Linked DNA regions of Drosophila melanogaster. The protein of the gene in region 2 purifies or fractionates together with the protein of the main gene of each other region. This does not show direct contact. Each region holds a gene or a part of one and is shown on either strand. Other genes may lie near its edges. The genes, in order: EndoA and Synj.

Evidence for each region.
Region 1: the proteins of Synj (region 2) and EndoA purify together in Drosophila melanogaster (affinity purification with western blotting; 3 studies listed by BioGRID). This does not show direct contact.

What each region holds. Positions count from the first base shown.
Region 1 is NT_033777.3:18,901,473-18,916,841, reverse strand, and holds EndoA (endophilin A), read right to left. Parts: upstream 10,234-15,369; 5' UTR 9,822-10,233; exon of another isoform or gene 9,643-9,821; 5' UTR 9,576-9,642; coding exon 8,466-9,575; 3' UTR 8,392-8,465; exon of another isoform or gene 8,337-8,391; 3' UTR 6,087-8,336; downstream 1-6,086. Other genes in the region: Sgsh (N-sulfoglucosamine sulfohydrolase), read left to right, coding at 4,008-5,582; CG14292 (uncharacterized protein), read left to right, coding at 11,236-11,289, 11,365-11,817; CG34284 (uncharacterized protein), read left to right, coding at 13,935-13,979, 14,056-14,385; CG14294 (uncharacterized protein), read left to right, coding at 14,653-15,072. UniProt on the Drosophila melanogaster protein: Required presynaptically at the neuromuscular junction. Implicated in synaptic vesicle endocytosis.
Region 2 is NT_033778.4:22,075,534-22,092,148, reverse strand, and holds Synj (synaptojanin), read right to left. Parts: upstream 11,974-16,615; 5' UTR 11,944-11,973; intron 11,707-11,943; exon of another isoform or gene 11,611-11,706; intron 11,465-11,610; exon of another isoform or gene 11,386-11,464; intron 11,075-11,385; 5' UTR 10,970-11,074; coding exon 9,512-10,969; intron 9,445-9,511; coding exon 7,246-9,444; 3' UTR 7,225-7,245; intron 7,158-7,224; 3' UTR 6,728-7,157; downstream 1-6,727. Other genes in the region: flap (flapper), read left to right, coding at 1-7, 90-514; CG44163 (uncharacterized protein), read left to right, coding at 821-1,036, 1,093-1,174, 1,229-1,287; CG43393 (uncharacterized protein), read left to right, coding at 1,486-1,722, 1,777-1,858, 1,936-2,000; CG13502 (uncharacterized protein), read left to right, coding at 4,863-5,420, 5,583-6,257; GlcT (glucosylceramide synthase), read right to left, coding at 14,477-15,799.

The DNA.
Region 1 (15,369 bases), on a different chromosome or scaffold from region 2:
CGTCCTCTGATTTTAGCCCCCAAAGCTGAGGAGCTTAAATGCCAGTCCACATATGCGTGCAAAAATATGTGACTTTCAAACGACAATCTTGCGCAGCGCACCGACTGGCACGAGCTCTTGGAATATCGAAGACGACCATCAACAATGGACGCCCTCAGTTGGCAAATTAACAAAATAAATGGCCAACACGTAGCGATTCGTTCAATCTTTTCACGATGAGTGCGCATTTTTCGATTCCACGAAATGGGAATGGAAAGGTAGGGCGTTTTGCATGTGTAGATGAATAGCAATTGATCTACAAAGCCCCTTCCTTGTTCGATTTGATTATCTTATCTTATCACTTTTATCTGAAACGTGATCTACATATGTACATACAATATAGTGTGGTGGTAGCTAAAAGTGTATGACTAAGTTTAAAGTGATTTTTTGCAACAAGCAGTTGTCTGGCATATCCAAAAATGTGTTTTTTTAAGCTGTTTCGGTGTGCTCAGTCTCTAAAGTTTTAAATTAGTAAAGCCAAAGATTTTTGTATCTTCCCTACCATATATGCATGAATGTCTGTAACTCAACAGGTCACCATTATTAATTATTTAGTAATCATCCTAAAGATACAAAATTTAAGACTAGTTACTTAACTAATAATATAGAATAAGATATAAGACAGAATCCGGTTTAGAAACCCCATATAAATTTATTATTTTAAGCGTCACGTTTTCACATGTAATCAAAACACCTATCAAAACAACGCCCTACAAAAGTTCACGATTACTATAGGCCTATAGGTAGGTGGCCTCATCTATCTATGTATACTCGACGTGAAGTGTACCCAGTGTCAATGACACCGCCAGCAACAAAGTTGTGGCAACAAATGTTGCTGGCTTTGGGAAAATGAGAAATGTGGCCAGTAGTTGCTTACCCTCCATCATGTTGCTGCCACGTTGAGCAGGTTCCAATGATGACGGCACTAATATGATCTTGATCCTTGTTGCTCCTTATCTCCGGTGACTATTTGACTTATTCGAATCGGTTTCAAAAGAAAGTGCGGCGACTAAAGCGACGGCGGTTAAAGTCACGCTTCTTTCGTAGCAACTTGGAGCGTCGTAGGATCTTAGTGCCCGTAGTGCCACCAGTGCCGGTGCCGATCGTGGAGGTCTCGATATTGATTGAATTGTTGCAATAAAACTTATTGTTATGCCAGCCGCGCATACGCATACACATAAAGTTGTTGAGCATGGGAACCTGCTGCTGCGAATGTTGCACACACATGAAGACAACGACAGGCGAATGTTGCATGACGTTCTTAGGCGACGCGATGTTGGATTTCCCGCTTTTTCTCGACACTGCTGTTGCTGTTAGTGTTGCACCAACCGCAGGCAGAACGAACATAATATTGGGGCAAAATGCCTTTGAAGTGTTTTTCTCTTTTTTTTTCTTTTTTTTTTTTGGTACGGTCAGCTGTTGCTTCAGTGATACCACTTGTGTAGATCGGGCGTATGCTTAATGTACTCGTCAAGTGTTCGTGTTCACAAGCGCTTATCTATATAGCATCTAGATACAACTGTTATCTGAGATACCGAGATACGAAGTATATATAGAAATTGTTTGTTTAATTTTCGCCAATTTATTGCGTCTCTCGCAAATGTTTTTCAGGCTGTTAATCACTCTGAACTTTGCACTCAAAGTTGAGTTTATCTGGTACGTTTTACACGAAAAGAAATTACTGTTCTATGAATAGGATATCTTTGTAACGAGGTTCAGCGTTTGATGCCATTAAGATGGGATTCTAAAACACGTATCGAAAATTTCACAAATTCCACGCTGATTTGCACACCGAAAGCTCTGTCGTTTGCCTTGACTCACTGAATTGTTGTTCTGTTCGCGACGAAGTATTGTTACTAACTGACTCAACTGCGAGCACTGGACGGCAGCCGCTGGCCGGGGTTGATATAATTTTGCTGACGTCGTTGCCGGTTTCATTCACCGCTCCGTCCATATACCCTTTCCCCACCACCAATATATATTCACATATATTCACACACACGCGCTCTCTCAGCTGCTGTGTCTATTTTCTATGGCCGTGCCCCCAAAACATTTCCACGCGGGGATCTTTTTCTCTCATTATTTTTGTGATGCGGAGGATGGGCCACTCGGATAAGTGGGTGCCTCTACTTCTTAGATACTACTCTACTCTAAAACCCTTAGCTGGTTGAAAGCAGCTGAAAAAGGTGTAAACAATGCATTAGCATCAACTGATTTAAGTTCTGAAAAAAAAAAATTTCCATGTGCTATTAACTTGAGGCAAAGTATTACATACAACACAGTTAAGTTAATATAACAAAAAATATATATATTTTCAATAAACTGTGCAAAACGCAGACAGATTATTCATAGCCGTTCATATTATTTGGCTAGCGACAGTCTGAAAATTGCACAGATAGCATTTCGGTCTAAATTGGCTACAATAGATAAGAGAAGCTAAAAAAAAAGAATAAATTTTACTCTGCACCCAGATAATTTAGAAACGTAGATATTAAGGTTGTAAGTAATAGCAACTATGTTTGCTCACAAAGGGTTAATAAACTGGTATTTAATAAAAAGCCGCGAAACTTAAGTATAGTTCAATACTTTGCGTATTTTTTCGCGCCTAAATATTCATTTATATTCATATGATCATTCACAGGATTTTTAATGTAAATGTAAGTATTTATGGTTACATATGTCACCTATGTCCGCTCCAAAAGGTATAGGGCAACTGGTTTGGCAGCCTGCCATGCAGCAACAACAAACAATACAGATTCGCACTCTTTCTCTCCACGTGAGTGAAACTCTCTCTCGCTGGTTGAGATTGGCTGATGCAACACTTGCCACACGTTGCAACAGCTGTTTTAGTCTGGCCCAGCTGATTCGTATTGTTGGCTTGTTGCCAGAGACTGCGAAAATCTCTTGGCAACATGTTGCCACAACTTTTGGAAAACTCATAGTGTTGTTAAACATGTTGGGCGAAATTTTCACACCGGTGCAGGGCAAAAAGGGGGTGGCTTAAACTGTAGCTGGCTGGCTGGCTTAAATTAGCCGGCCGATGATTCATTTTGGGGGTTGTCCACTTACATAAGATGAGCTCACCCAATGTGAAAACTCTTTAGTCGCTGGAAGAAACTGCGCATTTCGACACAGAAAAGCCTAAACAAGCAGAACGAACATTTGTTTTGTAGATTTATAATTTTTCAAAACATACAATCGCATTGCACTTTGCGATTGGCCTTGACACCCTGACGTGGTTCCATTTGGCGACACTGTTCCTGCTTTTATCTTCTCCATGGCGCAAGATAAAATCAGAAAGTACAACGTGTTGATCACCTAATGGCCAGAGTCATGCAAACCAAACTCTTGGTGATTTAAATCTATTTCCATGTCTGTCACAAAAGAATACTGCTTATTATTATATGGCGGGTTATAATTTACCAAAGTACACAAAATGTTACAATACAATACAGTTGAATATATACTAGTTAAATGTACATATGTTTTATAACAGCTCATTGGCTGTGTTTTAATGGTTTATAAATGTAAAGTGTTTTTAAAGCATTTTAAATTTCAAATGAAACATTTTTTTTGTGGAAGTGCTGTTTTTTATACTGTTCAGATATATCTCACTGATATTTATGATGATTCTTTAATCGTATGACTGTACAGTACCCTCACACTTTAGTTCTCTGTATGGTGTGTTGACTGTAGTCAAACCGCTCCCAAAGAAAGTCGGGCAAAGTGAATGTACCTAGGCGCGCTCCCGCTGAGCATTTGTTGTGTTGATGAGATTAAAACTGGAACTGGGAATGGAATTGAATGCGTCTTAAACGGAGAACGGAGAAATGAGAGGCTTTGTGGACACTTAAAAGTATGCGGCTCTCTTGAGCCGTACTTCAGTACGCTGACGTCGACTGAAGAATCGCTTTGTTCTGCGCTCTCAAATATATTTAATTTGGATTTGGAACTGGATTTATGTCAACATGCAATTTCTGCAGTGGATTTTTACACTATGGCTAATTGCTGGTTGCTCCGCTGGCCCGCAGAATGTCCTGCTGCTTCTGGCTGACGATGCCGGCTTCGAATCGGGCGCCTATCTGAACAAATTCTGCCAAACTCCCAATCTGGACGCACTGGCAAAACGCGGATTGCTTTTCAACAACGCCTTCACCTCGGTAAGCAGTTGCAGTCCCAGTCGCTCGCAGTTGCTCACCGGCCAGGCTGGTCACTCCAGCGGAATGTATGGACTCCATCAGGGCGTGCACAACTTCAATGTTCTTCCGGATACCGGATCGCTGCCCAATTTAATCCGTGATCAAAGTGGCGGACGGATCTTGAGCGGCATCATTGGCAAGAAACATGTTGGGGCCGCCAACAATTTCCGTTTCGATTTCGAGCAAACAGAGGAGCAGCATTCCATCAACCAGATTGGCAGAAACATCACCCGGATGAAGGAGTATGCCAGGCAGTTTCTCAAGCAGGCCAAGGACGAAAAGAAACCCTTCTTCCTGATGGTCGGCTTCCATGATCCCCATCGTTGTGGCCACATCACCCCGCAGTTTGGAGAATTCTGTGAGCGTTGGGGCAGCGGAGAGGAGGGAATGGGCAGCATACCCGACTGGAAGCCCATCTACTACGATTGGCGTAACCTGGACGTGCCCGCCTGGCTGCCCGACACGGATGTAGTGCGTCAGGAGCTGGCTGCTCAGTACATGACCATCTCGAGGTTGGATCAGGGAGTTGGTCTAATGCTGAAGGAGCTAGAAGCAGCCGGCGTGGCAGATCAGACACTCGTGATCTACACCTCCGACAATGGACCACCGTTTCCCGGAGGCAGAACCAATCTCTACGAGCACGGCATACGATCGCCCCTGATCATTAGCTCTCCCAATAAGGAGGATCGTCATCATGAAGCCACTGCTGCCATGGTCAGTCTTTTGGATATATACCCCAGTGTAATGGATGCTCTTCAGATTCCCCGACCGAATGACACCAAAATCGTTGGCAGATCGATACTCCCAGTACTGCGGGAGGAACCTCCGATCAAGGAGAGCGATTCGGTGTTCGGTAGTCACAGTTACCACGAGGTGACCATGGCCTATCCCATGAGAATGGTGCGCAATAGGCGCTACAAGCTTATCCATAATATCAACTACTGGGCAGACTTCCCCATCGACCAGGACTTTTACACTTCACCCACATTCCAGCAGATATTGAATGCCACTCTCAGGAAGCAAACTCTGCCATGGTATCGTTCCTTGTTGCAGTACTACCAGCGACCCGAATGGGAGCTGTACGACATTAAGACGGATCCCTTGGAGCGTTTCAATCTGGCCGATAAGGCCAAGTACAATGGCACCCTGAAGCAGTTACGCGAGCAACTGTTCGACTGGCAGGTAGCCACCAAGGATCCCTGGCGATGTGCTCCGCACGCTGTGCTCCAGGAGCAGGGCGTCTACAAGGATCAGCCCGTCTGTCTGACCTTGGGCCACGAGGCGTTGCAGCGGCCCAAGCGCAGGATTCTCGGTCAGTATGAGGAGTATGTGGTCTTCTCGTAGGTCTGACTAAGAGTATTCAATAGATTGGGTGTGTTGTCTTATCGCATGTCCAATGGTTGATAACTCAACCATGCCAATGTTTTTCACTTCACATGCCGTTACAGTTGCGGTCATACAAATAGGAATTGCAAAAGGTAGAAATGATAATATTATATTAATGTATATTCTTATTAAAATAATAAAAAAAAAGTAACATACAATACTTTCAATAATAAACTTTGTTTAACTTTGAAGCGAGCTGCTAATCTTTAAGCATGGCTAATAAAAAGATCAATGTTTTCAAAAGCAATGGTAATCATAAGAATTAAGCATTTGTTTAGAGTATGTACATATGTATGTTCTTTGAACAAATTTCCAAGTTTACATTAAGGGAAAACTTTAATTGCTTTTTACAAACAAACAGATAAAAATATATTGCCTTGATTTTCACCTGCGCAATGCCAAAAAAATAGCCAACAGAATTGGCAAAGAAAGAAGACTGAAGATTCCCCCACTGACTGAATTGGTTGCATCAGCCCAGACTGGCAAACACTCGTGTCCTGGCAGCATGACCTCACCCACTTTTTGGACTGGAGGCGTGGGCATCAGGGGTTGGATGCTGCGTCACGTTTCAATGTCATGCCCACTGGGTCAGTGGGATAGGGGAGGGGAGGGTGTGCTGGCGGCTGCCTGTGTCTGTGTGTGGAAAATCGAAAATTTCAATGCTTCTGTTGTAGTTTATTGGTGGCGCCTCCGGATTCCCACATCGCCCACCACCACCCATTCCCAGCAGCATTCGAGTCTCTGTGTTACACAACAGGCAGCACGTTTTATGGTTTTAAGGTCAGATGGGAAATATCAAAGAGTAAACGACGTTTGCTTGTTTTTTTTTTTGTTGTTTCTCAGTTATGACTTTGAACGAAAGACACATTAAAAATTAAATTTTATTAATTTTGGTTTGCATAAATTAGGGTCTTCAGTTTTAGCATAGTTATTATTATTATGTATATGCCTTGTAATATATATTATTCAAGTTACCGCCCACACAAAAATGCAAAATTACAATAATTATTGTTTGAAGTTCGGGCCCCGCTGCACGTGGGGCAAGTGTGTATCGCGTGGAAAGATAGTCTCCAGGCGATGGGTGGATCCTCCCCAGATGGGGTATCCTCTGGAAATGTTCGCACTGGCAGTCTGTCCGTCCACGAGGCAAATGTTTCATCTTCGCACTCGAATATATAATTCTGTTAAATGTTTTCTTGGCATTTAACAAATTTATTATCAACACAAGTTGCATGGCTTTCAATTCAATGGTTTTCTTCATACGTAAATATATATGTATCTTGTGTATATCATTCCTAAACGTACGAGTATATATATGTATATACATTCGTATGTATATCGTGCATAGCTGTATGCCAACATGAGACTATTTTGAATCATTTTATCGGTTTGCCGTCGAATGTTTATTATTATCTCGTTAAATATATAAATATTTGATCTAGAGTTGCGGTTGGTAAACGCGTTAGTAGGTTCGTAAGTGTTGCTATGCTTCGATTGACTTGACTGGATTTTGCTTACGTTTAAAGTTATTATTATCAACATTTTTGTGGAAATCGTTTAACTAGTATTATGCTTGTTGGTTGGTATTGTTTAGGAGGATTCTGTTACATTTACTTGCCGCTAGTACTTTTTATCTGTTATCATCGTTTAAATATTCATTATATTGTTTACGTTGCTGCTCAGTATAATTTATAATAAATACATAATAATAAATATACATGTAGATAATACGCTTAATAAATATATTTATACATATATTTGATTTCATTTAATATATATATATATAGTTGTTATGTATATAATTAACAAACAAAAAAAACAACACACATAAAAAGGAGCAAAAAGTAGGATACAAATTTCGCTTGTTTCATCCTCGAAAAATTGAATTGAATTATTCTTTACATTGAACAACGAACATCAAGAACGGTATTCCGTATGCCTTTTAGAATAGAGTGTGGGGAGTATTGTTTTTGCACAAATATACGTAGGTAGAGTAGGTATATGTAGGTATTTTCGGGTATATAATAAATATGTATATGCATGTGGGCGGGCGTATGGTGTGGATACGTAGCTTTAGCCTATAAAGGGACATTTGCATAGAGAGCGCATTGGCGTAGGTTGGTTTAAATTACAACGATGAGACCGGATAAAAAGACCTCCGAAAACTGGAGGCTAGAAGAACTCAGGTGGAAAGACAAAAGAGACGCGCCTCCATGGGCGTGATTAAGATTACACGGGTAATTTAGTTAATTAGCTAGAGTGTTTTTCTGTTTGCTTCTGCCGCCGGACCAACTGTTCTAATACGTGATCGATCTATTGTGTGAAGTAGTACTAAATGTTCGCAACTTGCAACGAACAACAAAGCTGACGTTTGAGAATCAAAGGTAAAAACGCAAGGAAGTGGCATTGCGCGCGTAACGTCTTGTAAATTTAGTTAGTTAATACGTACATTAATTTAACTCGTAGTTAATTTGTTAATTATTGTGTTGCCAACTGGTATAATTTTGCACATAAAATTTAGTTAGCTTGCTCTATGGCCACCATGAATTTAGCCTGCTGTGTGCTGCTAGCTAAGCCGTATCGTAATATCCGTAATCGTAGTAACCCGCTCATCTAATTCAACTATATATATATATTTGCATTTATGTGCTGCTGCTGCTGCTTCTGCTGCTCCTGCTTCTGCATCGGCTTGGGCTGCCCAATTTCGCGCCTCTGGTGGCGAAACCAACAATTAAGGTTATTGTTCTCCAATCAGCGATCTACGTACGTCTTCAGCCAGTTTGATAGGATGGGATTGGTTTAGGGATCGGGATTAATACGAGGAACAGGATGAGGAATAGCCTAGTTGCCATTGGGCAGGGGCACCTGCACCTGAACATACGACTGCGGGAAGTAACCGGTGCGGCCATTCACCGCGCCCTCGAACCAATTGTCGTCGACGCGATTCAACAGGGTGATAATGTCGTTCTCCTTGAAGGCCAGTTCGCCGGGATTCTCCGGCTCGAAGTCGTAGAGGGCCTGGCAGCAGGGCTGCTGCTGGCGCTGCGGCGTTACGGCCATCGACTTGGCGGGCGAACGCATCGGCGAGGGCAACGGCGAGGCGCTCGAACTAATGTGAGACGGCGTGCCATCTTCGTTGAGGCCGCCGCCACCGCCGTCCAAGTTCAGATCGAGCAGCGTCTTGGGCACGAACTCGTTGCGTGGCCGGCTCTCCGCCTCGGAGCGCTTCTCCTGCAGTGTCTCCTGCAGGCCTCGAAGGACATCCGCGCATTGCGAATGAAAATCGTATAGTGCCTCGGCAAAGGTGACCAGCTGGGAGACATGCTCCGTATCGTTCTCGAGCAAATTGAACATGCCCACCTGGGCCAGCTGGAGCGATTCACCGAACTTGTCCTCGGCACCACGAATCTCATCGTCCTTGGCCTGTCGGCGACGCTTGCAGTCAAAGTCTAGCCGCCGGCCCTGCAGCTTCTTGCGATGATGCATTACCTCCTTGAGGTCTTTGGTCTGCATATGATGCAGTGGCTCCAAAAAGTTCTGCTTGATGTTGTCGTCCAGCGAATACTTGACGTCGGCCATCTGTTTCAGCGCTTCGCCGAATTCGACGAGCGCCTGCGCGAACACGCTGTTGTCCTCGCCGAGCTTCTTCCCATAAGTCAGCATGCATTCCGCGAGCAGGCCCTCCGGTTGCGGATACGTATTGGACTTGGCCTGTCCGGACAGCTTCGAGATGCCCTTGACCGCTGCCATTTTGGCCCGTGCCGTTGGATTCGGCTGCAGGAACTCCTTCGTCTTTAGCTGCAGCTCCTCCACTAGCTCCACGGTGACGTCCGTCTTGCGTTCCATCTCCATGAAGTCCATGTCCAGTTTGGTGCCCTCGGCACCGCCCATCTTCTCCGTCATATACTGGTTGGCCTTGTTGATCTGCTTTTTGAGTCCGGCGAAAGCCATGGCTGCTGCTGTCTCTTCTGGTTTTCTTCCTCTGATTAAATTGGTCTTGGGGCGCTCGACGCAGTTGCTGTGAACGGGTTGGTTGGGTTAGTCGAGACTCGATTTCAAATTCAATGTCAATATCATCAAGTCAACAATTTCATCAATGGACTGGATGGCTGCCTCACTGACTGCCCGACTGCCTGGCTGGCTGGCTGGCTGGCTGAGTGTGTCTATTTTTAAAACGTTTACGTTTGGAAGACTTACGCGTACTGCACTTTTCTCCGTTCCTTCTCCGCTGGGGGTGCTACTTTCCGGGGCTCTTCTGCTCGCTCAGTGGAGGCTGCGAGTCGGGAAACTCGAATTGGCTTGGTGAACTGTAGCCCGAGTTCGAGTTCTACTTTTGCTGACCACTACTGCGGGCACTTTCACTCGCTTCGCTTGCTCTGCACGTTCTGCCCCGTTTTTTTTTTTGTTGCTCTGCTCGTAATCTTCGATTTTTTCCAGAACCTTGGGCTGCGTAATGTTTGAAGGACCGTGAGTCGTTACTACTACTACTGGTCGCGCACAGGGGGCGGGGGCTGTGGGGTCGCGTTTTCCTCTCGGCTCGCAAAAATCAATATCTTGACTGTGTACAACAATTTTCAACGGCACTAAGCCACTGGAGCTGCGGGACTATCGATAATTCTGTTAAAAAACATTCAGTGTGACCGGTGGTTCGTAAAATACCAAAATCATTCGCATACAACAACGGACATACACGGGATACGCTCATCTCTAGGCATATGTTAAAGATGTGAGGTACAACTTAACATTTTCATTTAATTTCTTTGCAGGGGGGTATTAGATAGTTATATATATATATCAAAACAATATTAAAAATTAAAGTAATATATATATTTTATATTAAGAAGCCAGAAGCACATAAACAGTTAACATAATATCTTACATTTAATATCTAATACTTATAATGTTAATGCATTATAAATTTGAATTTGAAATCTATGTTGATTGGCAGAATTATTAGACTAGAATAAATATGGTCGGTCCCACTGTCGGTCTCTGTATTTGCTCTGTCCTTGTACATGCTGTTAATCGAATAGCTGTTAGATTAGAATAACAGTTTGGCGCGTAAAATTCTAACATTACAATACATAAATATATTATATTGATAGAAAACGTACTCAGCAAAAATAAAGCTGTATAACTGCTGATGAATGTTACGCTAAGATAAAAATGGAATGACTCAGAATGGATAAGAAAATATCATGTTTATCCTGTTTACCAAAATAACTGTGCGCAAAATAACCAGTAGCACAGCAGTCAATTTTATCTTTCTAGAAGGTGGCAAATATATCCCAGGCAAAAATTAAACCCCATTTGCATCGTAAAAACCAGTGACGTTCACAGCATGAAGTAGCAATTTTACCACCTTTTTTTTTTTTATATATTCTGGCTCTATCTGAACAGATAACCCCCGAGAGGTACTTAGCACCACCGAACAAACAATGAACATGTAAATCAGTTCAATCGCAGTAGTAATAGTTGAGATATCAGAGATAAGATCTCCCTGCCGTGTTTTTAATGGCGTATAAAAGCCGCAAGCCGTTGTGCTTTTGGCAATTAGTCTAGACGAAACCCAACGACTGAGAACCAAGTGAACTCAGATAAATTAAAAGAAATGAAATTCGCAATTGTTCTACTGGCGGCCAGCATTGCCTGCATCAGTGCACAGGTGAGGAGTTGTGGATATGGGCCCCCCCATTAAGTGGATTATTATGTAACCGAATTATCATAATTTACTCGTAAGGGCCCTGGAGCTACTGTTGGAAATCCCCTTGCCGGAAATCCCTTTGCCGCCGCCAATCCGTATGCGGCTGCCTTTAATCCCTTCCTAAATGGAATTTTCGGAGGTGCTGGCACAGGAGCTGCCGCCGGTGTAGCCGCTCCCGTGGCACCGTCTGCTCCCTTTGGAGGCGCCTCGATTTCCTCATTCTTCCAGTCGATAGTCCTGCAACGCGAAGCCGAGCGTCTGCTCTCCCAGCCTGACTTTCCCGCCGACCTGGCGGAGCGCGTCCTGGATGTGGTGGCCACCTCGGAGGAGTCGATCAGTGGCTGCAACAACGCCACTTTGCCCTGGCTGCAGATACGCTGTGTCAAGCCTCTGCTGACCACGGCCAAGAACCAGCTGAAGGCCATCGATGACGAGTGGCAGGCCCGTTTGGCCGCCACCGCCAGTCCCACAGGAGCAGCTGCTGCCTAGGATTCTAGTCCTGTCCTCCGGCTGCCTTAGTGTCCAATACTTCCTAGCTTAGCAATCGACCAACATAGATGCAATAAAATTTAAATAAGCCTAATGCCGGAATTTCCTATGCTGGTTTAAGGGGTGCAAAGGTGTGTGTGTGTGTGTGTGTGGTAAGGGGGGGAGGGGGGGGGAGGCCAAAGGACTCCTGACCTAGGACATGCTTTGATGTGGCCGGCCGAGCTTTGCATTCCGCTGCTTTATTAAATTTCCCATCGGGAATTACAAATTTTGGCGTTTGCCTTCTTGACGCTTTTCGGGGCGCAAATACTTGGCTGCTCACGTCACCGTCACGAAAATCCTGGTTCGACCTCGACTAAAAGGATGCTTATGCTTTGGAAAGTTAGTGTTGTCATTATGGGGGAAATATGCTAACTTAAGTTCTAAGCAAATAATTTTTATAAATTAATAGTTTTAATATGCTAACTTGCAGGATTAAAAAAGTTACTATAGCTTAGCTTTAAGTAGCTTAATCCAATAATACCAAAATTAAGCTAAATCGTAATATTTCATTAAAAAATATATGCAACTGAAGTGACTTAATTTTCAGTGAAATATATAATGGCCAAGTCGTCATCACTTCGACGCACACTTGAATCGTTTTGGCCATCGCATGGAACTTGACGCATTTTGGTCAAATATTTGTACTGAGTTCCTCTGCTTTGTTTCCCTGACCTCCCTGGCCCAGCTCATTTTGCGGGGTTATGACAGCCCTTTTATGCACTTTTCCATTGGCGCCATCAATTGTTTCCAGTGCATGATTTGCTTCTCAATTGGAGCCCTTTGAGTTGAGGGTCGGGAGTCAGCTCGCTTGAGTTGCGTCCAGTTGCGGCGGCAATGTTGATTTATGTGCCAGTGCAGCTCCAATTATCCAATGTCCTCACTCAAATTGCCGGCCATCCTGCCCTTCGATTCGATGTGAATCGAATCGATTCGATTTGATATGGCTTTTGGATTTGCATTTCAATTCGAATTCCGGGCTTAGGACCTGTGGTTATTAAATGGCTTGGCTTAACGAGCCAAGGACCGGCCACAAATGACCAAATGACCAAATGACGAAGGGGCCATTGGATGTTGGATAAGCCACGAACAATGCCTAAATGGGGGCGAGTTTGAATTCAGATTGAAATATTTAATTAAATGTAAATTTCCAACATACACAACATCCGCCGCTTCACAAGATGGGGAGTGCAAAAGTTTTGGGCCAATTAATAAAAGTATTTCGGTATTGAAATTCGAGTTTGTTCGTCGTCATTACAACAATGCGGGCCAAACTTGGCCAACTTTGGTGTAGTGTTAGCCGCGAACTGATCGACCAACCCTCCGTAACTAAACCTCAACCGAATGAACCGCCTTAAGCTCTGTTTTGGTAATGCAAAAGTTGCGGCATTTGAAATTCAGGCAGCAGCAGCAAAACAAAAAATGGTAATTTCGAGCACAGAATGAAATCCAGCCGCAACTGCCCAACTAAGAGTATATATAAATCCGAAATTGGTTAGAGGAAAAAATTAAAAAACAAAAAAAAAAGAAATAAAAGCAAAATGCGACACATACGAAGGGATTCTACGGAAAGTGCATGTATGGAAATTTGTTTTCGGTTTGCGGCTTTTTTTGTTTTGATGCAAAAGTTGTGTGTGCCCCCCAAAGTAGGCAACAAAATTTCTGCGGCTTTGGACTGTGTCAAAGTTCGTTAGTTCGTTTGTTATTCGACGATATTGTGGGTCGCAAAAATTAGTGCAAAAACTAAATCCGTTCACGACCAAAGTTCCAATCCAATAGTGAATCATCCCACAAACTGAATGGTGTTCATCCGTAGTTTGCTATTAGCACTTGCTACTGTTATTTGATTCCCGAGTGCCACTTCCGCTGATAAAGTTATCTAATTAATCCAGCAAATATACGCTTATGGACCAACATAAAACATAATGGGGTTGAGGCTATCGTTTCGTATTGCACTCAGATAGATGGTGAGATAATGGAGGCTGTAAACTCTATCAAAGCGCAAACAGAAGATAAGTTTGAATGTCTTTCGAGTTTTTCAAATTGTGCTTCAGTCGGTCATTGAAAGTTTCCAGAAAATGTCGAGTGCAGTGCTGATAGCTTTCTGCGTCTTGGTTGTTTTGGTAATTGAAAATAATACTAAACACAAAAAAAAATCTTTAAAAATAATCTATTTTTTCATATATATGCGCTCAATAGACCGGACAATCGGTTGGCCAAAATGTGGCCGTGCAACAGTCAATTGATTGGGCCAATGAACAGTTCAAAATCGCTCAAGTTGTGGCCCAAGGAAAGCTACCCAACAGTGTTGAGGCCCGGAACGATGCCAATGACCAATTGGACACTCTGAAATTGGCTTTATCCCATTGCGAGGCTGAGCTGAAATCCACCCAAGGTGTCGATCTTCACAAGACTTGTGTTAAAGCCGTCTTCGCTGGCTTTTATACTGCCTTGGATCGCTTGGCCGCGGAACACTGGCCCATTTATGGAGCCACCTCTGGTGCCGCCCGAATTGGCTTCTTCTGCTAATTAACGTAATCATCTTACAAAGTTTAACCACATAGAGGAATATTTAGGAATCTCATAGAAGTCTAATATGTTATACAGATTTGGAATATGTTCGGAATAATAAAAAGTTATTAGGGTTGGATGGATTTGTTTTACTATGTTGTATTTCGTGCTTGTGTTTAAGGAATTTTACTTTTGTATAGAGATGTCAAGGTGTGTACTGCCTATGACAGCCATTTATTCTAAACAGAATCACAAAATTTTTTAGTTCGAACCACTTAGTGTACAATGAGTTGGCTGTCAACCATTTTCGGTATTATTTTGATAACACTTTTGTGTACGATATGGATAGCAGCGCATCCGCGATGGGAGCAAATGGCCAAAGCTGTGGCCTCCAAGATGAACTACGACGACCAGCATAGAATCCACACCGCATCTAGGGCAGCCAAAAACGTGGATGCGCAGATCCACGATTTCTACGTCAAGCTGGAGAATCAGAAGAAGGTTGCTGCCCGTGAAGTATTGGATAGTGCATACACTGAAACGACCAAATGCATCGAGGTATTCTACAGTGGTGAGCTGGAGCAAACGTTTAAGGACTGCATCGAGCACGTCACCCGTCTGCACATGGAAAGGCTGAGGTCACTCCTCCAAATTACCACTAAGCGACAGGCGAGCGGAGCAAGCAGACTTAAAATCTGGCACTGATAATACCCTGGAGTCTTCCCAGGATCGCTGGCAGGCAACGAGTCTGTTTTCTTTGCACCCAGTGCTTTCTGATGTACTTTAATTAGACAGTCAACTCGAGACCCGTCAGTGCAGCTTTTCATCTCAATCTGGGTGGGTGTGATTTCGGTGGGAGGGGATGGCATTCTAGTGCTCATTAGGCAAATGAGTGGTGTGGGTTGTGTAGGAGGCTGGAGGCCGTGGGTGGTGGCTGTTTCGTAATTATAATCATTAGACGCGAGACAAAACCCTCACAAAGCAAATAGCGACATTAGCTGC
Region 2 (16,615 bases):
CGAAAAAGTGAGTATATCTATAGGCACTCACAATAATCTACTTACCACACGTAAGTGAAATATTACTAAACATATGTTTTGTTAAGCAGCGGAGACTGTTGCACCTCCAGCTAGCAACACCGGGAAGTACACGGGAGGATTTGGTGCACCGCCTGGCCTACTGCGCCCACAGTCAACCAATCCCTCGGTCTCCAATTCGGGACCCAATTCCAATCCGAGACCCGGCTCCGACATCTATGTGGCTGGCAACCAACACGAGTTCAGCAGTGTTTTGAAGGCGAACAAGGCGCGACCCACCGTGAATCCGGGTCGCTACAACGGCGGATTCGGGGCGCCCACGGGAGTTCTTTCGCCTCAAGCGCAGGCGGAGCCACGTCCCTTCCAGCCAATTAACCAGCGAACGGAACACAGGGAACAGTCATCCGGTGGCAACAGGAGGACTGAGAGCCGTTTTGGTGGACCGCCTGGCATTCTCGTGCCCTTCGACAACGTGCAGCGAACTGGGGGGCAGTAGAAGGCAGTCCAGGAGTTCGCAAATACTTTAAATTATTTATAGCCCATGTACATGTACCTATGCTAGAGCTAAGTAAAGTAACTGACCCGCGGGTCACCACAGTACTTGCACAATAAAAAGTCTCGGAACTATACAGATAGTCGGATAAAACAGATCAGCTACAAGAATAAAGCCAATAATCTTATAGTGAAGGGAATCCCGGAATTCTCTGAACGTAGTACACTGGGAAAACAGCTCACTTTAAATACGCCAACGCGTCAGTCAGTATACACATATACACGTTCAGGATTAAGGAAGTGCTTTAAAATGTGCATTTATACACCGGACTGTTGCGCCATCTTCTATCCGATATGGTGCATATGTTTTGGAGCCGTAGGAATGTTGTTAGGAATATTAATGGCGACTTCGCATAGTCCCCATAGCGATGTGGTGTCATTTGCCTTTAGCATCGGATTTGCTGTACTCGTCATTGCACTAACCTACGTCATTGCTGGGATACTCATGATGCTTGGCGATAGACTGGCAAGTTCAAAGTTTACCTTATATGGCTGAATATTTTTTGTATTTTGTTTCAGCAGAACAATAAATCACTGTTTAAAACCGGCATAATCTTAAGCTACATTTATCCAATCATGTTTGCATTAGCCTTATACCCAATCAGTAAGCTACTGTTTTATCACTTGAGCACCTCTTTACTCCTTTTTTCCGCCTTAGTTGTCCACCTTGTCGCCATGGTATATCTGCACAGCTTTAAAAAGAATCGCTGGGGATAGCTTGGAACTACATCATATCCCAAATGATATTTAGAATGATATTGTAACCACGAATGATATTCACCTTTTAAATCTGTATAAATATATATATTACCAATCGGCAGCAAAATTAATCATAGCAACTTTTGAAAGCAAGTTCATCAGACATAAACATATATATATTATATATATATATATTGTCCACTACTTGCTTTTTTAATGTGCATGGTCACATCCGTATCCCCCGAAGTCTGCACCAGCTTCTATGCCACATGGTGCTTAGTTTGGGGGTCCTTGTTTGGGTTCGGTTACTCGTTCTTGCTCCTTGCCGATCTGATGGAAGTCGTAACAGTTGACAGAAATTTTCCGTTCCAAAGGACACTCAGGGTGGTCATTGCTGGTTTGGGACTTTCCTATCTTGGGGCGGGAATTTTAATGACTCTTGGCATAAAATACGTAAGTGATTTCCAGGGATCAATACTCATGATATATATTATATTACTTTTATAGAATAAGCCAATTGTGTTTAAATGTGGAAAGTTCTTGTGCTTAATATTTGCAATTGGTTCAATTCCGACTATAATCTTTCCTGGTAAGAACGATAATACAAATTGTTTGGGTATATATTTACTAATTCTTTGGGTCTTTTAAAAATTCCCTTAAATTTAGTTGTGCATTTCTGCACAATTCCCTGCTTGTGTCGGTATATGAAAAATCGATGGAACAAGGGCTAAACCTTGAAATGACACAGGGATCCGTGCTGCTGTTCAATGTTTTCAGGAATGAATGTTTAGATTTAAAATTTAATGGACCCTCAAAACTTGATCCCATTTTGAGCTTAGATAGCCAAGTGGCCCCGCATTCAACAGGTGGTTCGGCTGGTGCCTTGCATGCGGGCTGCTCCAATCAGGGAATCGAAGCCATTACAATCGGAGGTCGTGTCTGTTCAATTGGAGTTGTCGTAAACGCGAGTCGGCATTAAGGTCTTGCTCTACCTCCGCCGCCGAGGGGAGCAACTTGAGCAAATGCAAATATCATAATTTCCGACAGCACATCTGCAAGGTATCAGGCGCAGGGGAGCAGGCCACAAATGGAGCCCCACCTCCGGATCCGCCTCCAGATCCACCTCCACTTGCAAAGTCCAGGCCACCGTTACGAGGGCAGGACAAATAAAATTGTTTCGTCACGCCACCGCGAAGGTTGCCAGTCGCTGTCGGAATGAGGCTGGCGCACGCAAGACCAGGCCAACCGCCAACCGCCTGGAACCACCCACACCCAGCCACGAATCCATCCATCCATCCATACATCCACCAGCCCTAACCCACTTTCCCTCACGTGCTCCACCTTTACGACCTGCTCAAACATCAAGCTTATTTATTTACTCTAAAAACAATACCGGAAAATTAATAGCAATTTGTTGGGGTTCATAAATTTGTCGAAATAAATGTCCTTAACTGGCGAATGTACTTCCCCTCACTACCGCACCAACCCAAATGGGTGGAAGAGGGGTTCTTTCGGTGGTGGTGCTGCCAAATGGGTTTCACCTGCTGCAAATCGATTGTCTGACTCCTTCTCCGTTGGCCTTCTCTTATCAGCCGGGCTCGGGTGCGTGACTCCCCGTCCGGAGTTGGGTTTTAATTTTGATGACTTCAATTAACTGCGTGTAAATGCGGTGAATCCGCCTTTTCAGCGATCCAAAGTCTACACAGAAAGAAGGGATTATGTAAAAAACAATTGTTTGTTTTATATTTTTTTCGAGTTTTATTATTGTTAAAGTGAAATAGAGTTCATGTAACATGTATAATTGACACTGCACATTATGTGATCTAATCACCATAAACAAATAATTTTCTGTTATTAAAGTCACAGCTGATGACAAAATGAATCAGCTAGTAGATGTTTCATAACAAAAACTAATATTTTGTGGTATCCAAAGGATATTGTGGCTTTTCAGAATGCTCAGAAGGGTTTGTTGAGATATTAATGAAACTTTATTGAAGTTTATTGCTGCTTGTCAGCGCATGTAAACTGGTATACAAAGTAAAGAAAAGCCGGAACCCCTGAGTTGCAGCTTGTGATGGGGTGCCTTTTCCATGGATTGGGGGTCTAGAAGCGAGCCAAGTTGGGTCAAATGCAAAGTGAAGGCACATAATTCAGTTGCTCAACGACAACCGTCGCGTTCAGACGTCAATTTTAGACTACGGAGTGAAGAAGTCACAGGCTTGAAGGGTGAAAAATGTGAAACTACTACGATACACCATCTCAATAAGCCACTATAACTACTTAACAATACCGAATTTAAAATGCCGCGCAAGAAACCGAAGGTCGATACTCTCGAGGAGATCGAGACCAATATTAAACTGCTATGCGATCAATCCAATAACCACATGAAGGTTCGGGCCTACGAGAAGGCTTTGTTTGGATACAACCAGGTGTGTTGGGAAACTTACTAGCCACAGTTAAGACTAGGCAGAATTATTTCCATCAAATAATAAAGTGCAATTGGGAATACCATCTCCGAATTGCACTATAAATAATGTTTGATAAACTTTACACAAAGTGAATCATTTAAATTAGACACAGTTGAGGATATTTGAAACGGGTTTTATCGCATTTAAAAAATATGTAATTAAGATAAAAGTAATCTATGTACTTTTATTTAATTTCATAATTTTCGAAAAGTACATAAAAACGAAGGCGGTGATATTTTATGTGTTTCATTTTCACTTTTAAGCATTTAATGCTTTGTTCGTGAAGAAGGATAATCACTTAGCGGGAAAGGACATCCGCTAAAAGCTCCTGAAAGCTTCGCACAGGTTTTAGTTCACAACAAAGGAGCACAGTTTGACATTCTTAACGTAGTTGAACAAGCACCTGTAGAGTAACACCATATAGAAACACTATAGAAAGGCTTTTTTTATAGCCAAGATTGTTCAAGTGTTTAATGATAAGTTTTAGTTTACATTAAGGTTTTTTTGTTACATTTTTTTATATTACTCATACGACACGTATGCCAATTTATTCCTCTATGCTAGCAAACAAAAAACGTATTGAGAAAAGATACCGTTGATAGTTTTAGTGTTATAAAGGAGCTACTTTAATATGCGTAATTTTAAGGAAATTAAAGTCCCCCTCAAAACATATCAAGAAAGTTACTCATACGCCCCGTAAGCCAGTCATGGTTAACAAAATCCCAACTCGATTCCTTAAGCATTAACCAAAAAATTAGTTTAAAATATGATAATCTCGAGGACCACTGAGAAAAGAGGATAGATCGGAGTGGATATGCATTCTCACCTTCTAATAGGGCGTCCCCAAGGTCGTGACCCACATGGAGGCCATTGTTCTTGGCATTCACACCGCCAAACGACACGACACCTGGTGCCTGACACCTGATATGTAGCACCTGGCACAGCACGAGTGGTTGTTTTGTTATCGATTGCTAACCCATTTGGTGGCGCCAGTTTCCTGGCAACAACCCATTATAGCGCCAATCAATTGGCTAGTGATTTGGTCAGAAGTTGAGTTTTTTGGATTACTCCAATCGTCGGACGTTGAAGATTCTTCCCAGCGATTGCCAAGGGTATTATAAGGATATGTCGAACGTGCTGAACACCATTCTTGCTGTGGACAAGGAGCAGGAACTGCTGCAAAGCTTCATACGCACCGGAGCAGCGGCTGAGGAGGAGTCACAGGATGAGACCAATCGGCGGTCCAAGGGTCGCTCCCACAAGCCTCCCATCTGGGAGAGGCGCGAGTCCACTGATCGGGGCGGACGCGGTGCTGGACGGGATGGAAAGCAGGGGGATGACGGAGGAGCTGGGGGAGGAGCAGGAGGCGACGCTGCGGGCGGCAAGCGGGGCAATCGCATTGAGGCCGAACTTAGGGCGGCACGCAAAAAGATCGAGGAGCAGATCGCCAAGAAGAAGAAGCCCAAGGAGAACTTCGTCGACTTCTACACGGACAAAGATCGGGCGGCAGCGGTCAGCGCTGGTGCATTTGACATCAAGCAGAGTCTCCAGATCAAGCAGAAGCAGGACCGCAACGAGGCACTGCTCATCCCGGACGAGGCGGACATCAGTTCGGTGATCGCACTGGGGCTCAAGGAGATCAAGAATGCCAATCCCGAGAACGCCATACACTTTTTTTGCAAGGTGCTCCTGGTTTCATTATTGGAACTGTTCAGATTTCAGAGTCATCTAGTTAAGCAGGTTTTCTCTTTTTAATAGAATCTATACCGCTGTTAAGTCCCGTTTAGTTTTCTAAGATCTGCCATAACATATTAAAAACTAGCTAACAAAACCTTAAAATTTCAGGCTCTTGAGCTGAATAGCACCGACATCAATGCTTTGATTTCGCGTAGCAAGTGCTACTTGTTGCTGGGCGAGGCTTCCAAGGCACTGCAGGATGCGGAGACGGCTCTTGGAGAGGACAAGAACAACATTCGGGCCATCTACCAGAAGGCTGAGTCGCTGTACTACCTCGGTCAGTTCGAGCAGAGCCTGATGTTCTTCCATCGCGGTCTGAGGGCTCGTCCGGAACTGGCTTTGTTTCGCCTGGGCGTTCAGAAAACGCAGGAGGCCATCGAGAACACCATCGGCAGCAAGCCGGGTCCACCAGGACCAACAGCATCTGTTCCCAAGAGCGGAAAGTCACGGAAGTCCGGCGAGGATACACCTAAATCCCAGGCAGCGGGAGCAACGGGGACCAGTGCCAGGACGCGGCAGAAACCCAGTCGAGCGGATCTGGAACGACGCAACGCCCGCAAGCTGCTGGGCGAACTGTGCGTGGACAAGGAGTACTTGGAGAAGTTGCTGCTCCATCCGGATTTGGTCCGCGCGGACACACACACGGAGAGCATCTCCGCGTACGCCCGCGAGGCGGTGGAGTTTCTCAACAAACGGCAGGAGTTCTGGCGCCAACAGCGTCCCTGCACGGCGCTGCCCAACCATAAGAACCTGCCCCATGACGCTCTGCCCAAATGGTTCTAGTCCATCCAGCTGCCCAATACTACTGACTTGTTCAGCTCCCGGTGTTAAGTTTCTGTTTGAATTGAGTTGGCTTGATAAGCTGGTATTGAATAAATAAATCAATTAATTACGAAAACTCTCAGGTAATTTTACTTGACTCTTGTATTGAGTTTTATTAACTTCCAATGCATTTTGCGAATATTCACTTGGAGCAGCGACTACGACGGTCCAACTTTTTTATTTTGTAGTATGCTACTTGGTTAATCTTAGGCGTAACTTCAACTTTTGAACAGAGCAATTGGAATTTCTCAATTACATTGATATATATTTGTAGTCAACTGAAACAGAAATCCGGATGTAGCCTCAAATTGACGGAATACAACGATAGTTTAACAATGTGGAATAATATGTAATTTATCTCAATAGTTGTTCAATAACAATGGATACATGTGTTTGGGTGTGTCGCTCGAATCGGAATCTTTTACAGAGTTCTATTGCTTCTTCAGTTTTTATAACTTTACTTCATAATTTGACTAGTACGGCTATAATTTATTTAAACATTACATTTATGCAGATTAGTGTAATACTTTGTCGCCCATATACTTCATTATATTCATTCTTCGCCCTCGGCAAATCCGGTGCAATTGGGTTGAGTACGTCTGGCCAGTAAGTAAAAAAAAAAAAAAGAGAGTACCGGAGTGGGGTAGTTTGGGCTTTAGCTATGTGGAACTTATTTGTTTACTTTAAATTCAGTTTGATTCCGGCTAGAAACTATCGAAACAAACAAACAGGTAGTAACATAGATTCCATGCGAAGTGCGGATATTGCCAGGAGTTCTCCTCCAGAGTGGCCCAATATATTCGAGTATATATAACATTAAATACAGCGATTCGGAATGCAATCGGAGTGCAAGACAGCGAGCTGTAAATATAGCCATTATATGATTAGTTGCGGATTACGCTTGATATTTCTTGAATTCTTAACCAACCCCGTGTGCGTAGCCTGCAGCTCAGTTGTTGGCGGGTCGCGTGGGCAGCGGTGGAGCATTGCCGCTCCTATTTGGTATGGGTGGTGGGCCCCTGCGATTCGGCAGCGGTGGCGGCGGGCCCATTGGTGCTCCTATCACTGGCGGCGGTCCAGCCGGCGGCGGATGGCGTGGCGCAGGCACATCCTCCTGAATCTCCTCGTAAATATTACTGGCGGTTTCGTAGGCGGTATCAGATGGAATCGGATCCTTGGGCGAACCGACTTGGCGCGTGGGCGTCGAGACGGGTGTGGCCTGCTTGCTCTGCATTTGGCGCGGCGGCGTCGGCGGACCGGAGAGCACAGCTGGAGCTGTGGGCGAAGTCTTTCCCGAAGAGGACGTCGAAGAACTAGCGGATACAAGTTCCGTTGGCGATTGCGATTTGGAGGATGGCGTGGTGTCCATTGCCGGCGGACGAGGCGGCGCCACCTGCGGCTGAAGCGGCGACGGAATTAGAGGTTGAGATTGCGGTTGCGGTGGCATCGGTGGCTTTGCCGGCTTGGGCACAATGCTGATGACCCCGACGTGGGGCAGGTGGCGTGGTGAGTTCTTTGGCGACATAGGCATTGGGGGACGGGCTGGGGGACGTGTGGGCGGCTGCTTGGGCCGCTGGGGCAACTCCGGCGTAATGGCCTGCAGGAGTTGTGCATGCTCTACAGGATTAGCGCACAGCGGTATGGTGTTCGTGGTGCATAGCTCTATCTCGCTGTCCACCAGATGCTGCCAGTCCTTTGACTTCAGCTCCAGGATAAGATCTAATCCGCATACTTGGATACTCTTCTTAGAAGACGCATTTAAAGCCGATTCTCCATCCCGAAATGTGACCCACATGGTGTCCTCCACATAGCGCACCAAAGTGACCTCTCCCATCTTGGATAGCTCGGTAATCAGGGCTGACATCACATTCTCGTCGTATATGGTTGGTCCATCCTCATCTCCAGTTGCTGAAGACTCCAGGACATGTACCACAATCGTGGAGTCCGGCGGACCCAGATCTCGGATAACCTGCTCGAATACAGCACGTCTCCGCTGCTGATCGATCTCCATTATCTCAGCATCAATAATAGCGATCACGGGTCTATGATCACTCTGCTTTAGCTCCGAACGACCGTAGTGAATCAATTTGCCGGGATTCCAGGCTGAGGCAGCAAAGTCGCCCTCGGCCAGCGCCTTCCTGCGACGCCAGAGAACCCGATCTGTCCAGGCGGGCGCTCGCTGTTTCTCCGAGGTGTCGTAGTCGTCGCTGAACAAATCATACTTGTACGTCGGGTCGAAAGTGATCTCTCCCTCGAGGAATTCGCCAAACACATTGCCAGCCTCCTGCTCCTTGCGCAATTGATCGAACTCGAGGACGGTTGAGAGATCTCCATTACGTACGCACTCCTTTAATTCGTCCTTCTCCATGTCGATGCGATAGTTGAAGTCGCCGCACCAAAACACCCAGTCGTGTGATTTTAGCGTCCTGCCCATCGGGAAGGCCAGCTTCCGGGTGATTTCCGCGTAGTCAGCGTTCCTTTCAGCCACCTGTGACTGTCCGGCTGCAAAGTGGGCACACACGAAGCACATGGAAGTACCATGAAGCACAAATCGAATGGCACAGGCACCCTTATTCCCAGTGGCACCACCCAATCCTGTCTTAACACAGTCGATGGCCACGTCCCGGATGTGCGGCGCGTGCTCCGGTCGGATGTAGATGTATAGGCACACGCCCACCAGTTGCTGGTATGTGAGCAGCACGTAGTCATTGTCCCGCGAGATCGTTTTCTGCAGCTCCTCGGCCCACAACTTGGCATTGTCGGTGCTGGCCGCCATTATGTTGGAAGCATTCAGATCCACAATCTCCTCGAATCCAATGGCGTAGATATCCACCGGATGATCGACGTTCTCCGACGGATTGTTCACATCTACAAGCGCCTTGGAGCGGGCAAGGGCATGGCAGTCGAGCAGCCAATCGGCCAGCGAATCCTTGAACACAATGCTGCGGAAGTGCTTGCCGCCGTTGACGTTATAGGTACCCACGGCTACACGTGCCATTCGAGGACGCACATATTCAGTGTAGCGCTTGCATAGCTCTCTCAACACAGTGGTAGGTGCATGCAACATATTGGAGGGCAGTAGGATGCGAGCCCGATCCGCAAGCTCCGAGCTAAGCGTGGAGCCCACTAGCAGGACATCAATGGCTTCCTAAATATGAAAAAACGGGAGTAATGTAAATAATAAATTGAATTTTTAATTGAAAACCACAATGTACCTGCTTTGAGTTGTCCAGTAGGTTATTTTGAATTGTTCTTGCTGCAGATCGCGCACCATCCATTAGTTTTGATCCCCCCTGGATGGCCCCGGTGCCGGCGTAGATCTTGCTGACCTCATTTCCGTTGTTGATCCACATCTGTCGGAAGATCTCCTCAAACCGCGAAATATTCTGCTGCTTGCCGCCCATTTTCAAAGCCTCTAGCTGGATACCGAGCGTGTCAAGCCCGAGATACGTCTGCACACAGTTTGTCCTGTCCAAACAGTCTAGGCAATTCGTGCGCACAACACCGAACTGCTCGCGCAACACCTGACCATTGGACGCGTGGAAGACGCCGTAGTTAGCACCGCAGGCTACGATCCGTTCCTTGAGCTTGGCCAGCGCCGAGAAATTGCCGCCGCGACACTCCTGATGATAGTCAAACACCACATGCGGCACATCCTTGTGGGCTGACATGCCGTGATGACGCTGGAACTCATTACTCAGCATGGCCTCGCCCTCCTTGCTGCCAACAAGGGAGCTGCCTAGCAGATTCACCACCGTCTGATAGCCGTAACGTTGCCTCATCATGCTCATGTGTCGATCAAAGGCGGCGGCCGATGTCTCGAATCCTCGTGATAGCTTCACCTTGTGCGAGCCAACCTGGACGCCTGGCTGTTCCCAGAAGAGTGGCACCGATCCTCGCGTCTGCACATAACTAGTAACATCGCCGTCCACGTAGATCACTTGCTCGGTTTCCACAAAGTTAGCCACATAGCCCTCATCGTTGGTACCACGGACATTGAAACGCGTGCCAGCCCGTTCGCAGCTCAGTCGGGAAATGATGGCGGCACGGGCCTGTTTGGCACCGATGTAGACGGTGCGCACTTCTACGGAGCCGCACATGGCTTGCAACAACCAGGACTGGCAATCGATACCGAAGCGCATCAGGTGGATGTGCATCATGCGATTCCAGAAGAAACGGTTGTCCGTCTCCTGCGTTTGCTGGCGTCGCTGGGCGCAAAGCGTAATATCGAACCGATACGATGACGCTCCGGATGCCGATGCACTGGCATTGGTGTGGGCAAAGTAGAAGGTGCCCGAGTTGAGCAGCTTGCGCACCTCGCTGATCTTGTCTTCGTTGGGCGCTGCATTTTGTAGCGAGACAAAAGTGGTTTGTGTGATCCGGAAGATCTCGATGTCGCCGATCTTGCCCATGGACACACAGCCGGTGACCAGCACCAGGAACAGCACGGTGCTCTCGCCGGCGTTTAGTTGGAGGGCACCCAGACATCCGTAGGCGTCGCAGACCTTGGTGTACTGCTTCCGGATGACATCCGTCTCCTGCTGGGTCAGCAGGGCCACCGCATGGGACTCGAACAGGATGCTGTCGCTCTTGTTCCGATGCTCCAGTAATACGCTGTGCGGCGAGGGGGCAATGGACTTCTCCAGCACACGGATCACCTTGGACATGGCCATCTTGTTGGTATCTCTCTTCCGTGTGTCTTCTTTTGAGTCGAGTAATGTGATTTCGTCCTTTACTGTCTGCAGTTTAAGTTTTGCGTCCAGCTAAAGCTAAGACATCTGTTGGTGGGGAAATACAATTTAATTGTGGGTGTATTTCACAAGTTACATTTTTAAAGGGTGTATCAGTTACATAATAGAGATCTATTATTTTTATAAGAATAGTACTTCGTTTTTAAGGTGTAGGTTTAATATTGGGATTCGTCGTTTGCAATGCTACAATTATAGGACTCATTCGATTTCAATTTATGAGCAACACTTTTAAAACTAATTTATCGTAATATTTTTTTTACTAAGTAATAAGTTATTATCAACTACGCTACATTCGTTGTTTTTTTAAGTTTTAAAAAATATTTTGGTGAGTGTTTTACTTGCTAAGTTAAGTTATTTTGTGCACTTCGTAATAGCTCAAATGAGCTCAAATTTGGGGTTAATTTAATACCACAAAGTTTTTGATTCTTTTAATTTTAGGATTTGCACGAGGTGAGTGGAAATGGGAAAGTTCAACTAGTACAACAGACACTTTGAACCGAAATGGCACTAAAATTTCGGGCGCCTGTTAAAAATCAATAGGCAACTCTTAAACATAAACAAACCGAAAAGCGGAGGAATTTTTCCAATATCTTCCGCCTCCCACTCAAGTTCACCCACACACGCACACACAGCAATGACATGCACCGGCGGCAGCTGTGCTCTCTCTCGCTCTCTCCCACTCACTGCTGGCGCGTGCGTGTGTTTGTGAGTGACTGATAAACATTTTTTGTGCATTCTATGGATTTTTCACGAGAAATTTGCACAGGCATTTGACTGTTTTTAGAGGCAGCCAACGAACGGCATGCTTGGCGACCACTTAAAAGAGGAAACACTAGATTTCACGAAACTATTGGCTCCTCAAATGAATTTTTTACGCCTCTTAATACTCCTAATACCTTTGTTTGCGATTTTATTGCAAAATTCTGGAGAGCTTTGGGTGGTATGACCGTATTTGGTAAGCCGGAAAACGACAGCATTCTATATGGCCTCGATAATTATCGAGCTGTTGACAGAGATCTGCGCGCCGAACTAAAGATTTGAATTTAAATTGTGTACTAAAACATCAAAGTCAAGTGTATTGACCACTTTTGAAGATTACGGCGGACACTTGACGATAGCCCGAGGCTAGGGGCTTCGCTCAGTGCCCTGAAGTATCTGAACCATTTTTCATCAAACTGGGACAAATATAGTCTTTATCTCAATTGTCCCAAAACTGCACACTTTTCAAATTATATGATAAGAAACGACCCAAAAAGTTGGCAATATTTCTGATGCTAAGATTACACTTGCGCTTCTTTCGGCAAACAGGAAGCAATTCAATGCTGTTTTAAGATAATTAGGTCTCAGAAACAACGTTTCATGGAGCTTAGTCACTCAAAATTGCATGCTACGATAGAATGTAGAACGCTTAATCGCCTACTGTTTGCATTGGTCCGTATGCACATATGGAATGTAATGATTATTTATTTATTGTTTCACTATGCTCTGATTTTTTTTTTGGCACTTCTCACGTGCGCACCATGCTCCTCCAATTCGATTAGATAGCCCCATTGCGGACATTTTGAGTAATCTCAATGGTCGCAACAAAACCTCTAATTGTAAATCACAGACAATCGGGTGATTCATTCCAATCCGCCTTATCAGAAACCGGAGGACGCAAATAAATTTGCATTGCATCGCATTCTTTGTGAACCAGAAAAGTAAATAAAGTCAGATTTATATTGGTCATGCTTCTCAGTTTATTCGATAAGTATGTTTGACTAGTTGTAGGCTTAGAATACGAATTGATTTAAAAAATACGCACTAATTACTCAAATACTCGTACATTATTTCCATAGTTCGGCTTACATACATATGTAGCTCTTGGCAAGCGAAGCAACAATTCTAGTCGAAGGGTTTTCGCATTCCCCCCCATATGTTATCTAATCGCTTAACTGAAATTCGAGTGGATTGCCGTGCCTTGGGTACTGATAACGATTGATTAATTTACATAATTCCAGCAAGATATGGCCGCTTTCGGAATTTTTAGCACTCCCCCCAAGTACGTCATTCCGTTTAAATTGCATTTTCGCCCATTTTAGGCAGGGCGGCTGTGCAAAAAAAAAAGTATCAGCAGTCGTTAATAGTGTATGCCCACCAAATATATCATCTACCCCGCCTGGTTCATTTGAATGCGTCTGCGCCTAATTGTTATATTGTTATAACCTAATGCGTAAGCTAAAGGCGTCGGCCTAGGTTGGTTCCGGACCTGCATCGAAGGTCCAACCACATATGTATATATGTATATTTCTCCCTCCCTTTGCCGCTGATATGCCCGCTTCTCGTATCTGTAGTCATTTAATTCATAAATATGTTTTTGTGTCTCTCGCTTGTCATGGCTTAAGTTCATTAAGATAAGGGGCTGGCTGTGTGGAAAGAAATCGAAAGAATTTTCCCCCACACCAATCCCATGCGATCATTTGACTGGAAGGTTCTACGAGCAGCATCTAGAGTACGCTATAATGGTCGCCACCAGCCTGACCCATCACCTCCCACATAACTTAGACACAAACAGGGGCGCAATCGCCGCCAAGCCCGCATTAGGAGCGTAGGGTCGAGTCAAGTGAGTGCGGTGATAATTACGCTGAAACCGACTATGGTCGATGGTGTGACTCAGCCAAACGTTTCTCACCTATTTGGCCAAAAGGCCCCTGAGTCAGCTAACTGATAAGAGGGGGGATCTATGAGAAACGATACTGTAAATAAACATCAATCAGAACCTAATGGGTTTTCATTCTCACGATCGTTTCGATTCGATTCGATTCGATTTGATTTGATTTATTCAATGGCATTCCCTTTTGGCGCCTATGTACAGCAGCTGGGGCAAACAAAAAACAACACAAACAACTTAACTAAAAATAATCATAAGTATAGGCTTAGCGATAACAGTATACCTAGTGTGCTTGGCCAAAATAAATAATTACAACTCAATAAAGCAACAACAGAAGCGGGGAGAACTAACTATCGCAATCATAATGCTAACTAGGGCTTACGTCTCTGTACAGGCTGGCTACAAAATATGTACGCTATATATATATACACAAAGCATCATCATTAACCAGTTTCCATGAAGCCACCAAAATGCGCCCGGGTCGATCTACTCGAACGCCTACATCTAAATCTCTGGCGAGCGATCGCAGCGATACGCTCGTCGTCTAAACAGTGTCTTCTAAACTAATCTAGGTCCGCCTGCCGCGCTTCACGTCCAGGAGGAGTGCGTGGATGCCGCTCCGCATTCGCCTTTTTACAGCTTTAAGTCTAGACTTACGTAGTGACTAAGGTTCAGCTAATAATACTACTACCAGACGCTAGACGCCGCCCGCCAGTCGCTTGCAGTCCGCTGAGTTCGTTTGCTCACAAGTACAAAATAACAAACTTAACTATTAGGTGCTACGACACCAGCAGTCGCTGTTTGGCGCCCGTGCAGATCAGCGTGTCCCCCGTTGTTCCAGCGTTGACTACCGCAGGCTCTAACGTGGGTGCGGGCTGTGGCTGCGGCGCCAGCGGGTCGTTGGCAGCATCGCTGGCGAGGCTGTTCAGTTCGTAGGCCACTCCGCCCCAGTGAAGCTTGTAGGTGCGGGCGCGCCAGCGGATGGCCGGATTCCAGAGTGCGTGCAGGAACAGATAGGGTCCGGTCAGCTCTCTGAACAGCCAGCCAACGACGAACTCGAACTTGTGGAACGGCATCGAGCCATGCTGGACAATGGAGAGCAGCAGCCAGTCGGACAGGAACCAACAGAGCACGTGCACCAGGTAGAACACCAGCGGATCCCAGCTGAACAGCACGGATGCCGACCAGGCGGCTATGGCGCCAAGGATCATGCACTCGGAGAGCGGCTCCAGCAGTATGGTGGTGGGGACCATGGCCACGCGCAGCTTGGCCCATCGAATGAGCCGCGCCTGGAAGCTTCCGATGTCGCAGAGACCACTGTTCTGCAGCGCCGGCTGATTGGAGATGCGCATCTTCCAGCCCAGTCGCGTTACACTGCGCGCGATGAAGAAATCCTCAGCCAAGTAGCAGCCAAATGCTCGCAAGCCGCCCAGCTGGTCTATGACAGCCTTGCGCAGCAGACAAGACATGCCCGTGTGGCAATTGATGCCCAGCACATCGGCCGATAGATAGATTCTGCTCTGCACCGTGCCGAAGAAGACCTTCTCGAAGGTGGCCGCAAATCCGTCCCGGTCGCAAGTGAATGGCATCTGATGGACCAGGGCGTGCTTCTCGGACATGTTCTGCACCATGTCCAGCAGCGTGTCGTCTTTCATCTTGATGCCGCTGTCTGAGATCATCACAAAGTCGTACTTGGCGGCCATATAACCTGGATGGATGTTATTGATCTTGGGGTTGACACCCACGTCGGAGCCACCTACAAAGAGGGCGGCGTCCACCAGCGGATACTTGGCCAGCAGTCGCTCCACCAGCTGTATGGCCGGGTCCTCCTTGTCCTCGACGCAGAAGAGGAGCTCGTACAGCGGATAGTCCATGGTGAAAAAGGTCTCCAGGTTGTGCTGCAGGTTGGGATCGACGCCCATGAGGGGCTTGAGAATAGAGACACCTGGCAGGGGTTGTGCCTCCGTGGGCAGCTTGCAGGACTTCTTGTGCAGCTTGTAGCGCCCGTAGCAGATGGCTATCACATGCACCATCCAGGTGCCCAGCCAGAAAACCATGAAGAATGCCGCGAAGCCATAAAGCGGCAATGGTAGGTGTGACATCGTTGCGGGTGTGCGTGTGTGTGTGTGGCTGGCGGGGTGTGCGGTGTGTGTTTGTGTGTGCGGGTGGTGCTCCAAGGGTCCGCGCGAGTGTGTGCGTGTGTGGTGACTCCGAGTCCAAACTCAAATCCAAATCCCCGTTCGTGTGTCTGTGCGGGTGGGCGTTTCTATTCACGATGGCATTTGCTGCGGTTGCCCTGCGGTTTAGCGCTGCCCGATTGCGAGACCAGATCGGATCGAACAGATCAATCGAGGTGCACTCACTGGTTGGCCGTTCCTCGCGCTTTAAACATTTTGCAGACCTCGCGTCGCGTTCGTTTGCCAAATAAAACTGCAATAAAGGGGCAGTGTTGGCAGCGCTATGAATCAGATGCGGAAGCAAAAAGGGGATAAAAAAGCCATCACGCTTTCCCAATTTCCAGCACTGTTCGTAAGACAGCTGATTACCGATACTTATGATTTTTCAATACTACTTATGTAAAAAATATGTAAAATATCTAATAACATGCATATATCTAAAAAAAAAAATATGTTTACGTTATTAACTACGTAACAACGTATTTGCATTTTTTCTTTTAATTTTCACATTCATATGTATTTATTAAAACTATTATTGTTTAAAATTTTAAAACAATATATTGCTTGTATTCAAATAGCGATGCTTATAAAACCATAAGCTGAAACAACTTAAACATATAATTGATAACCACGACACTAACGTCCTGTATTATTCATTAAATTTTTTAGAAATATACTTCAACCTTTTCGTTAAATAAAAGAAAAAAAAACCCATCTATTCTCAACCAACTAAATATAATT